Coturnix japonica: one gene and its partners. The protein of the gene in region 1 interacts with the protein of each later gene in a biochemical or structural test. Links are inferred from orthologs where the notes say so. Each region holds a gene or a part of one and is shown on either strand. Other genes may lie near its edges. The genes, in order: natriuretic peptides A, NPR2 and NPR3.

The links.
Region 2: the proteins of natriuretic peptides A (region 1) and NPR2 form a complex in vitro, tested with the Homo sapiens proteins (3 studies listed by BioGRID). The link is inferred for Coturnix japonica from reciprocal best matches to the Homo sapiens genes NPPA and NPR2.
Region 3: the proteins of natriuretic peptides A (region 1) and NPR3 form a complex in vitro, tested with the Homo sapiens proteins (4 studies listed by BioGRID, with this or other methods). The link is inferred for Coturnix japonica from reciprocal best matches to the Homo sapiens genes NPPA and NPR3.

Annotation. Positions count from the first base shown.
Region 1 is NC_029536.1:4,846,472-4,850,835, reverse strand, and holds the start of natriuretic peptides A, read right to left. Parts: upstream 2,869-4,364; 5' UTR 2,655-2,868; coding exon 2,535-2,654; intron 1,259-2,534; coding exon 973-1,258; intron 688-972; coding exon 671-687; 3' UTR 1-670.
Region 2 is NC_029547.1:8,340,953-8,344,423, forward strand, and holds part of NPR2 (atrial natriuretic peptide receptor 2), read right to left. Parts: intron 2,668-3,471; coding exon 2,468-2,667; intron 2,398-2,467; coding exon 2,284-2,397; intron 1,871-2,283; coding exon 1,735-1,870; intron 1,623-1,734; coding exon 1,528-1,622; intron 1,451-1,527; coding exon 1,318-1,450; intron 1,233-1,317; coding exon 1,148-1,232; intron 1,076-1,147; coding exon 955-1,075; intron 588-954; coding exon 513-587; intron 434-512; coding exon 356-433; intron 240-355; coding exon 135-239; intron 43-134; coding exon 1-42. UniProt on the Homo sapiens protein: Receptor for the C-type natriuretic peptide NPPC/CNP hormone. Has guanylate cyclase activity upon binding of its ligand. May play a role in the regulation of skeletal growth.
Region 3 is NC_029547.1:9,261,004-9,264,651, reverse strand, and holds part of NPR3 (atrial natriuretic peptide receptor 3), read left to right. Parts: intron 1-500; coding exon 501-623; intron 624-3,648. UniProt on the Homo sapiens protein: Receptor for the natriuretic peptide hormones, binding with similar affinities atrial natriuretic peptide NPPA/ANP, brain natriuretic peptide NPPB/BNP, and C-type natriuretic peptide NPPC/CNP.

The DNA of each region.
Region 1 (4,364 bases):
ATTTGGTCAGTGCTAGAAAGCATATACAATGAATTCCCTTTCCTCCCTCTAGCTAGCTTGTAACTCGTGGAGTTTTGCAATAATTTTTACTTCTTTTCTTGTAAACTTTGCTTACGTGAGGGATTTGTGGCAGTGGAGTGGCAGCTGCATTGGCTGAGTAATGTGTACCGGCAAAAGGACTTTCTTATCACTGAAACTACATCTATGTTGTGGGTCTTCCAATGTTGTGCAAGCTTTTGTCTTTTTCCTCCTTCTAATCTGTTGTAATTTCTTAGTGTGGAGAGGAAACCTCTAGGGAAAAACTCATTCTTTATCCAGCTTCATACTTTCTTGGTCTCGTGTAAGTGAGATCCAGCCTTGTGGGTACCAGAGTACCAATAAAACGTAGGCTTTTGACTTTAGGAAAATACAAGAAATTTTAATGCAAACAGACAGGAGAGAGGTCCAGCATAGATATCTAACGTGTTAGTTTTATTTCAAGATGGTCTCAACGGTGCTAGAAATGTTATTAAGAAAAAGAGTAGAGATAGAGATCAAATAAATAAATAAATAAATAAATAAAAATAGGAATAACTTTCTGTTGATGAGTTTAGAAAGCTTAGTCCGGCTTTCATCATGGGAGGAACAGGTTCTGTGAAGCGTTCTTCAGAGCACGGGTCAGGAGGTGTTCCTAATTCTTCCTGGAACCTGCAAACCAAACATGCAGTGTTAAGTGTTACTGGAGTCTTTCAGTATCTGCCACCATTGTCAGCAGTGCTTTCATCCGTCTAATCAATAGATGTGAAGTTTATTTTGGAAAGCCAATATTAGCTTAAAGGTTAGACTAAAACAAGCTCCTTTCTTAAAGAGTTTACTCAAAGCATTTAACTGCTTCTTATTATTAAAGACTTAAATGAAATCTTGCTCCTCCCTTGCTGCAAAAACCTAAATACAGCCCATCCTATTCACTAGAATGGCTTAAGTCAGACTCACCATTGCAACCCATTCCACTCAGGGAGCCAATCCTATCGATTCTTCTGCCAAAGCAGCCAGAATCTCTCATCATCCTGGGCATCTGCAGCCCCCTCAGTCTCTTGAGGAAGGGGTTCCTGTAGGACAGAGGAGCGCTGGGTGCTAGTTTGGGTTCAGCCTTCTGCTCATCGCTGTCATCTATGGGTTCTGGTGGGATCTCCTCTTGGGTTTGGGGCTCTTGCAGGTCAGGATTGGACTCCAGGGCTTCAATCAGTGCGAACTTATCCTCCAGTCTCTCCAGAAGAGCCTATGAGAGAAGGATTAATTTCATAAGACTCCTGGTTTCATGATCATTTATTAGCTCTTCCACTCATCAGACTCTGAATTTGTCTATGGTTCTATAGCCACCTTTAAGGAGTCTCTAAGGTTGGATTCCAGAGATGCTGGTGCTTCCTGAGCTCTGTCCTCTGTGTTAAATCTCTGTTTATATTAATTCCACCTATCTCTAGCTGTAGCTGGGAGCTGACTGAAGCTGTCTGCCACAGAAGTGTGTCTCACTGGAATGGATAGAAGAGCTTTTGGCACAGGAACAAAACAAGAGATACCACTCAACCCAGCAACAGTAAACGATTTCAGAGTACTTCTGAACCCATAGTGACTCCCATGTTCCCAGAAGTTGCCTGCATTGCTGCTGATCTCCTGTTATCTCTCTCTTCTTATTCTGACTAAAGTCATCTGCTTGCCTGTAACCTCTAATTATTGCAGTAGGCATCACTGTGAGAAGCTCCTGGTGTTTTCTGCTAATCTCTGCCCTAGAGGTTACAGGATTTCTGCTCTTTTAAGCAATATGCATCTCCATAACAATACCTATATGAAAAAGTTGTCTGCTATCTAACCTTCTGAGTATTATTCTCTATAATTTCTAAAGCTCTGAATAACAGGGAACCTGCTCAAGGACATCTCATCCATTTAGAAGGACCTGATTGTCCATCTCTGGAAGTAGGCTAGGGAGAAGTGAACCTTATGTCTTGCTTCAGGGTGAGTTGTGTCACAGTTACATGATCACACTGTTCCTCTCGGTTTGCACAAGTAGTTGTGCAAGACTTTGAGAGCTCTGCTTTACCTCTTCATCCGCAGGCAGCTCTATTCTCTCATATCCCCAAATCCAAAGCAGTAGGGCTGTCCTCGCTATCCCACTCAATGGGATAAACCCACTTGAAAGTTTTCTATTTATTTTTGTAGGGATGCCATGATGCATTGCTATGTTTTTACTCCGGGGTATTGCTCTAATTCATTAAGAAACCCAAAATGAGGCGACTGATTAAGAGAAGGGGGAAAACCCAGAGCAGACATCTCACATTCTGTTTCCCATTGCCACCCAGCAACTTGGGTGATCCCAGCACTGGAGGGTATTGCCCTACAAAGCTTCCCTGAAGCCCTGTGAAGAATCAAGACTTTAAACACTACATACAATTTCTAACGTAGCTATCTGACCATACAAAAGAAAGGCAAAGACACCATTGCATGCACTTCTAAGCCCCCCTCTGAAAGTGTAACCCTGTAAAAACAAAGATTCCGCTCACCTCCATGCTGGCCAGTTCTTTGGCAGGGCTGAGGTTGTAGATGGGGTTGGCTCTGCTGGGCTGCAGCTGGATGAGAAGCAGCAAGAGGAAACCACAGGAAAATGAGCCTCTAGTGTCCATGGCGCTGGGTTCGTTGGGAATATGGGAAGTTCAAGCTGTTTCTTCGAGTTGGCTCTTCAGGTCTCTCTCTTCTTTCTCCTGTTCTCTCTCTTTCGAAGCTCGTCTTTTATATGGTTTGGTGTGATCTCTGCTTCCTGGGTTATCAGGGGGTTTATCTGGGGCGCATTCCAGTCCCACTGCAGGCATGCGGCTCTGTCAAGGGAAGATTCCCTTTATTAGCTGTCATTAGGCAGCAGCTGCTGTTGCTGAGGAATGTATGTCACAAGTCAGTGATTTCATGTCACTCCCCCTCCTCTTGATACCAGGCGCTGTGATTACATAGTCCAGTTGGAAATTCTTAGCAATTTTCCTTCAAGAGACCCCTATGGTCAGATTTTACAGAGGTGGGAAACAACCGCTCTAAACTCTTCTCAGTTAGAAGATTTCCATAGGGAAATTAGTATTTATAAGGAAAGCAAGAAGCTTTTCCGATGAGTATTTGGTGGAGAGCAAAGACTGAAGATTAATCTACTTTTAGGATGCCGAAAGAACCTTGTGCATTCTCCTTCTATATAAGGAATACGTGTAGCCACTGCATACCACGGAGTGTGATGAAAATCTCAGGTTTGGGCCATTTCTCTTTCCCCATCGCTGCAGAGGTGAGATCACAGCTAAGACTTTATGTTTGTATGTTGCCAACAACAGAAGCACCCAATCTACACCTCCTCACGGCTGCTGTGGGGACATTGAGTGCCTCCAGCCCCATGGAAATGACTTCGGCAGCGCGGCAAAGCTCTCTTATTATACTGTTAACAGCTAGACATTTAAACAGTGGGATTTCCTTAAACATTCGTGTTAAGGTTTGACCCTGCATTAATAATATTGAAAGAGGAGGTGGTCAGATTCTTGAATAATTTCTGTGTGCTGGTTTCTTTGAGAGCTGAAGGTTTTCAAGCTTAAGCTGAAAACTGCCTCAATTTAAATGAGAACTTACAGTGATGCAGATCTGCTTCTTCCAGCATCATCTTTAGGGCAACTAATAAAAGCTACTCATTACATATTTCAAACCCCGAAGCACTTTGTTTGTGCTGCATTTTCCTGACATTCCTTATACTCAAAATTGAAACAAGAGCAGATCTGTGACAAGGTTGCCTATGTCAGCCTTGTAATAATTGGTTGAGTTTTAGTAGGAATGTAGCTCTTGAAATAATCTCCAGGGTACAGCTTCTAAATAAGAATAGAACAATGAAATATCTTCTTGTGTCTTAGCAGTGTTTGTGTACAAACAGGCAGACACACTGTTCACATGATCTGCCTACCAAAATGACACAGGAAAGGGCACTCTCAAGGTTGCAAAGTCGAGCCCAAATACTGCTTTTTTTTCCTGGTATAGCCCATATGGGCTATTATGAAGCAGCACTCATTTCTGTATTACTCTGTGTTCCAGGCTGTTGATATTTAGTCCTGTTCAAACTGTGGTAAAGAAAGAGTTACCAGCCTGGCAGCTTTGTTATTGACACTCCTTGCCGCAGTGTCTTTAGAATTCGATCATTAATTGCAGGTATTTTCTTACTCATCTTCATTCTGTAAGCTGAGAATGGATGACTATCAACATTATAAATGGTATTCATTAATACCGAGTGTCCAATTTTAAGTAATCAGGGTCTGTTACTGTTCTTTTCCTTTCCTTTTGCTCCCACACACCAAATATTCTCTAGCGCTGTCTCTGTG
Region 2 (3,471 bases), on another chromosome or scaffold:
AAACATCCAGTCCAAGTTGATGCTCTCATTCTCCAGGATGTCCTGGAGAGGCACACTCATCTCTATCTTCATTCTCCACCGCCATCTCCCCTTCCCCTCCCCACCTCCTCCACCCTCCTGTGTCCCTTCACTACCTGCAGGCTGCCCCTGGGGCAGTACTCAGTGACGATGCAGATGTTGGGAGGATCGATGCAAGCCCCAATGAAGCGTGTCAGGTGGTTGAACTGGATGTCCCGCATCTGGGGGTGCAAGCAGAGCTTGGTGGGGAGAGGCAGCACCCCGCTGACCCACCACCACAAGGAGCAGATACTGCACTCCAGCAGAGCACAGACCCCATCCCAGACCCCACACCTACATGTTTGAGCTCAAAGAGCACCTGCCGTGTCAACTCAATGCGCTTCTTGTTGACGTGCTTGATAGCCACCACATTGCCCTGGGGACAATGGAGGGGTGAGTGCTCACCAGGTAGCTCTGGGGAGACATGCTGGCAGCCCATAGGGGTGCAGACTGACCTTGAAGTGTCCGGTGTTGGCAAAGATCTGGTACTTGCCATGTGTGGTCATCAGCGAGCCATAGCTGGAGCCACGCTGCAGAGAGGGAGTGTTAGGGACAGGGACAACACACCCACAGAGCAGGGCAGGGGCAGGACAAGGTCTGGTCTGCAGGGTCAGCATGAGGGAGTGCAAAGTCTATAGGCTATGTGCTACAGTGCATGGGGGGCTGTGGAGATGTAGCACTACAAGGGATGAAGGGCCTCACAGGGGATGGATAGAGCATGGTGCTCCATAGGGACTCCGGGCTGTGGGGGGATGGAAGGGCATGAATGAAACGTGTCTCTGAAAGAGATGGAGAGCTTTGCAAGGGATGGATGAACACAGGGAGTACAGTATGACTCCGTAGGAGACATGGGGCTATGCAGGAGGACAGGACAGGAGTAGAGGGATGAAGTCTCACCAGGGACAGTGTAAGCCGGCTGCCTGCTCCCTTATGGTACCGCTCTGCGCTCCCAAAGTGCAGCTCATCCCATCTGATCCTCCACAGCATGCTGGCCAGCTCCTTCTCCAGCATCAGCTTCCTAGGGGACACAATGGGTCAGCCTGCCCATCCCTACTGCCCTCCACCCTGCTGCCCCCATATCCATACCCACCTGAAAATGAGGAAACTGGAGATGCCGAACATGACGAAGGTGAGCCCGGTGCCCAAAGCAACGATGGCCAATGTGGAGAGGGGGGCTGCCATGGGTTAGGGAGGCTGTTAGCACTGTGTGGGGCTGCACACCCCAAGGGAAGGATAGAGTGGGACACCCCATGCACCCACTTTTATCACAGGAGGGGTCATCCACATCAAAGACGCAGGGTGGGTTGTCCAAGGGGGGAGCCCCCTTCACCCAGCGGATGGGCCGCCCCAGCCAGCGGATCTGCTTCTCTGCACCCGAGTAGTGTCCCACCACCTGTGGGGAGACAGCTGAGCCCAGACCCCCACACACACTGCCCCCATCCCCCAGCAGGACCCCAGTGCTGCCCCCACCTCGTACTGCCCGCTCTCGGGGTCACCCATGGCCCACAGGTTGAAGTCAGTGTCACGGTCGTTGTTGCTGTCCATGCTCACCAGCCCCGTCACCCCTATGGCACAAGTGAGGTCCAGGTGGAATATGGAGCACAGGACCAATCCCTGCAGCCCACCTGCCCTCCTCCCTTTCCCCCTAACCCCCCCAGCCCCTCTCCCTGCTGCTACCCTGGAACTTGCGGTCCCGCATCTTCTCGATGAGCTGCGTGGCGTTCTTCTTGGAGCCGCCCTCCCGCAGGGTCTCGTTCAGCACCATGGCGTACAGCAGCACCCCGTCATAGAAGCACCCCGCCACCAGGTTCATCTGCAGGAGGGAGCTGAGCACTGCATGCATTCCCTGACAGCCCACCACTCTGTGCCAGAGCCATGCACACCTCTACAGCCCCAACCCCACAGCGGGGCTATGCTCAACCCTGCAGCTCCGTTACCCTGCAGCAGGTACATGCACACCTCAGCAGCTCTATAACCCTGAATTGGTGGCATGCATGCCCTTGCAGCCCTGTAACCCCACAGTGGGGCCATGCACATCCCCCATAAGCCCACAGTGCTGCCACAACCACCCTACAACCCCATAACCCTGTACCACATCCACTCACAAGCCCTGCAGGGACATCATCACATTGCACTGCTCCAATCAGGTACATATGTCATCACCCTCCACCACATCCAACCCTCTGCAACCCCAAAGGGACAGTCCTCACATCATGCAGAGCTCACCAGGGAGTAGTTGAGCTGCACCCCAAACTTCTGCTTGGCACGCAGGATGAGCTGGGTCTGGAAGTGCTGGTACTCAGGGTTCTGGGGCTCATAGTAGGTGATCACCAGCACAGTCTGCGAACACAGCAACGCACGTCACACTGAAATCCCAACCCAAACCCCCATGTAGGAGGGTGCAGCTCACCTGGAAAGCCTCACGCAGCCCCGCGTCCTGCCCTGAACCCTGCTGCCAGGGCTTGAAGGCGTCATGGGCAGAGTCCCCCCGCAGGCTCTCCCCGAAGACATCGACGTAGAAGAAGACGTAGTCGCCGTTGGTCAGGTTCTCGCGCTGTGCCAGCTGCATGATGCGGCGCAGCATCTCCGGCGGCCCACACAGGTACACCACTGCCAGGATGGGGGGTGTCAGTGCACAGCTCCCACCTCACAGAGTCATGGGGTCACCCCATAGCCCTGCTGGCCTGGACGTGCCCATGGCACATCATCCGGTATGGGGGGAAAGGGGAACCCCAGCACATGGGGTGGATGGATGCCCTGTGCACCACGCGCTGTAGAGTGCCATCACCTTGGCTCAAAGGCTTTGGGGAAGGGGAATATCAGGCTGGGAAAGGCGTCAGGGCCATGCCCCAGAGCCCGCTGGGGAATCTAGGCTGAGGAAAGGGACAAAAACATGTTTGGGTTTGCGGTCGGTCGTGCGGCAGGAATGCGCAGGTTCCCGGATTCCAGCACCTTCGGCCGGCCACAGCATTAATTGGAAACAGAGCATCTGCTGCTGCGACCCAAGAGCCAAGGGGGTGCCCGGGCCCCGTCCCACCACCCCCACCGCCCCACAGCTCAATGACTGCGCCTCTATCAACCCCACAGGGACACAGAGATGGGCGATGCGTGGCGCTGATAGCAGGTACCCTGCTATGGAGCCAGGCACCCCGTGGGCTGCTGTGCAGAGAGCGTCCGGAACCCCCCCGAGCAGGGGCCCTCCTGCCACCGCCTCCTCCCTCCCTCCCCCCGGAAAACCAGGGCCCCCGCTCCAGCCAGCCTGGCTGGGAACCCACGATTGAGCAACGGGGGAGGAGGCGGCGGGCGCCGGAGGAATGTCACGCTCAGCTGCTGGCCCCGTGCACGGCCCTAACCCCGGCACTGCTGGGACTGGGTGCACGGCGACGGGGGGATCGGGGCCAGCATCTGCATATG
Region 3 (3,648 bases), on another chromosome or scaffold:
CATCACAAAGCAACAAATTCTAGAGCAGTTACCTAAATGTCAGATAGCATGAGTGTAGGTAAAAATCTACACCAAAGATTTCAAAAGAATTGAAATGGTAGTGCCATTGTATCTTATTACTTAATCTTCAGATTGTCTTATGTACACTTTGAAGTAATAACTAAGATTTATGGTTGCAATTAACTCTACAAATGTATATAATAGAAGAAATTTGAAGGCAGAATTTTTCCTGAGCTGCCGGAGTAAGAAAATTAGATAACGTGTTGATCTACTTAATTATTTTCAGAGGAGATGTGAGTAAAATTTCACTCTATGTTTGATGCCCATCTTCTGTCAGCAGTTTAGGTAATTAGCTTTGTTAGTTCTTTATGTTGTCATATTTGTTGCAACACTGAGAGGACAGCTCAGGTCACTGTCTCTGGCAGCATTCATGCTAAAGAATCTGTTCCATAAAGTTCTTGAACTCTTTCTTATCTGTGTTTTCTGTTTTCTTCCACCAGTTGTAATCATGTGTGCCAGCGGTGACACAATCAGGAACATCATGTTGGCTGCTCATCGGCAAGGAATGACCAATGGGGACTATGCTTTCTTCAATATTGAGCTCTTCAACAGCTCATCATATGGTAATGTTTTTCCTGCCCGAGTATATTACAAAGTCTTTTGTAAGCCTGGTAATACTTTTAGGTTTGTTAGTGTTAAAACATGCTGCACTGAATGCACCACCATTTCTCCATGTTTTTGCAGTTACCTTCTTTTTAGGCTATAACATTGCAGAAATTGCAACTGAATGGATTACAGGATATTGAAGAATGGTTTTAAATTAAAAGAAAGTAGATTTAGGTAAAACATGAGGAAGAAATTATTTACCTAGAGGGCCAGAAGGCCCTGGTATGGCTGCCCAGAGAAGCTGTAAATGCCTCATCTCTGAAGAAGTGAACATGGCTGGGTTGGATGAGGCTTTGGGTAGCCTAGTGTAGTGAAAGGTGTCCTTGCCCTCAAGAGGGATTCAGAACTAAAAGGTCATTAAGGTACTTTCAAAACCCAAGCCTTTCTGTGATTCTAGGAAATGCACTACAGGCATTATTGAGAGGAGGCATGAGGGCTGGCAGTGAGAATGTGCAACTGCAGGTCCAGGGTCTCCGGAAGTCACTTATATGCTAGGATTTCCATACATCCTGTTTACTTTTGATCAGAAACTGTGTGTGCAAAACCATCCAGCCCTGCTGTGTTGAATAGAAGGCACTGGTAAACAAGAGCACAGGCTGTCTAAATGTGCTAGGTTTGGATAGATAAGAGCAAATTACTTCATTTCAAATAAACGTGACAAGATGTGTCAAGTTAAATCAGCTGAAAAATTAAATATATTTGCTTTTTTAAATACACCCCTCTTCAGTTACATCTGTTGTTATGGCAGTGCATGGTAGAGACTAAACCTAATCTCAGCTGCCTTAGTTAAATGGAAGGCAGTACTGGCACAATGTGTTTACTGGCAGTTCTATAAAATGTCATATGGCTGAAGCTGAGCGAATTTTCTGTCCGGGAACCTGATTTTGTTGAAGTGTCAAAGTGGCTTTTGAACCAAGCAGCTTCTTTCGCAGGTGCAGAGAAAATATTTTTCCTCCTGCAGCCTGCCCTAGCTAATTCAGTGCAATAACAGATTCATTTCGAATTGAAAACCAGGTGGGAGTTGTAAAAGAAGGAAAACTTGTTTTCTTTCAATCCTTGAAAAGCTGATAAAGAGGAAAAAAAGACATTCACAAAAAGATGAGGTATTTTGTTTAATGAATCAGTTAATTGCAAGTTAAATTCTCTTACATAGACTTCATTATCCATCTATCACCCCTGAGATTATTTAAAGAAACGAACAGTGCTGCTTGTTGAAAAGCTTTATAATGAACATGTGTTACTGCTTAAATTCGGAGTTGTAGATATTTAAAGAAGCAAAGATAACACTACATGTGTCCTCTAAGTTGGCTAAGGAAGTGCCAAGTTCTACCAGCCAATAAGGAAATTACTTCAGTAACTAAAAGATAAATTGGCAGACCAAGATCAAAGCCAATGATTCAAGTCATGGTGGTCTGTTTGGTCTGGTTCTGACTGAAATTGAGAGTGACTTCACCCCTTGTGTCGTAAGTGAAGCATTTGTCATTGCAGCTTCAATCAGGACCAGTCTAAAAAGGTGAAGGTTTACTTATGTCAATAGTCACAAAACTGGCTTTCTGTAGACTGTGGGAGCTTTGCAGACTTGATTTCACTTCTGCCTAGACACCATTGATCATATAACCCTTCTGGCTGCTGCTAGTGCTTCTTACTGCTATGCTGCTGCTATATTTCATCTCAGAGAGTAAAATTTAATTAGAATTGATTCATCTGGCCCCAAGTACAAGTCTCCATGTGAGCTAGGCTCCCTTTAGAGTCACAGGAAAAAGTTAGGCACCCCTGGGTGGTGATTCACCTCATCCTGAAGTGTCTGAAATGGCCTGGATGAATTGCTCCTTAACACTGGTGATTTTGTTACCTTGGATGAAGCAAGCAGAGTGACTGGCTGGGGTGTAGAGGCCCTCTTGGAGCAGGAGCTTCTTGTGTAAGAGCAGCAGCTGCAGGAGGTATGCTGCTGCATTTTGTAATGTGTTTTGCATTTCAGGATGGTGTTGACTAGGAAGGAATGTTGCAAAAGCCCCTAACAGGGATGTGCCCATTTGTCTTGGAGGTCTCAGCATCCTCCTCCTTTGCATTACAGTTAGTTCAGTCTACTTATTGCTTTTCCAAGGGATAAATTACAAATATCTGCCTCCTGTCTATGTTATCAGAAATTCCCTGGTGCTTCTATGGAATAATTCTTTTAATCATTTTTTCTGTTTCTTTGTGAATTTTTCCAATGAGGAGCAAAATAACTGTTGGAAACTGACTTGAGGTGGTCATTGCACACTGGAAGCAAATGTGGTAGGGAAGTGTAGAGACATTTTCTGTGAATTCCTTGTTCCCAATGGCAGGAGGTGCTGGAATTTTAAGAGACACATGATTTAAGAGTGGATGTGACAGACGGTTGGCATTTTCTCTTTCAGCTCAGATGACTGTGTTGCAGTTTGTTGTTGCCCTCTGTTCTGAATATTTTTAATTTTTCATAAGAGCAGACGCATTTAATGCCAAGACTGCAATAATTGCAGATAAGTACTGTGGCAACACTACATCCCACAAAACAATCCATGAAGGAATTTAAATATGGAAATTATTTTAGGAACTCTGTTATGCAAGTATAACTTCTTGTTCCCAGTGTCAGTATTTTTAAAAATAAATATGTATGATGCCCAAGACAGAAATTTATTCACATTCCAACAGTGCTGTCATTTTTTAATGTGAACCCACTCTTCTTAGTAGTCTGCCTTAGCAAACCCCTCCATGTTACAATCTCTGTCATACTTTTCATGTGCTGCATCTCCGAAATGCAGGTACCCAACTGGGACAGAGGTTTTTCAGCTTTAAGACTCCAGCAAGGTTTGTGTCCCTTTCTGTATCTTCCCATTTATTTCTTTTCCAAAGGCAGTAAAAAGGACTCGGTACTGCCAAGGAAGGAAGCAGTGCTGCCACTCAGGGCAAAATCATGCTACAGGATTTTAGCTGCTGTCCAGTGTTTCCTTGCAGCCGTAC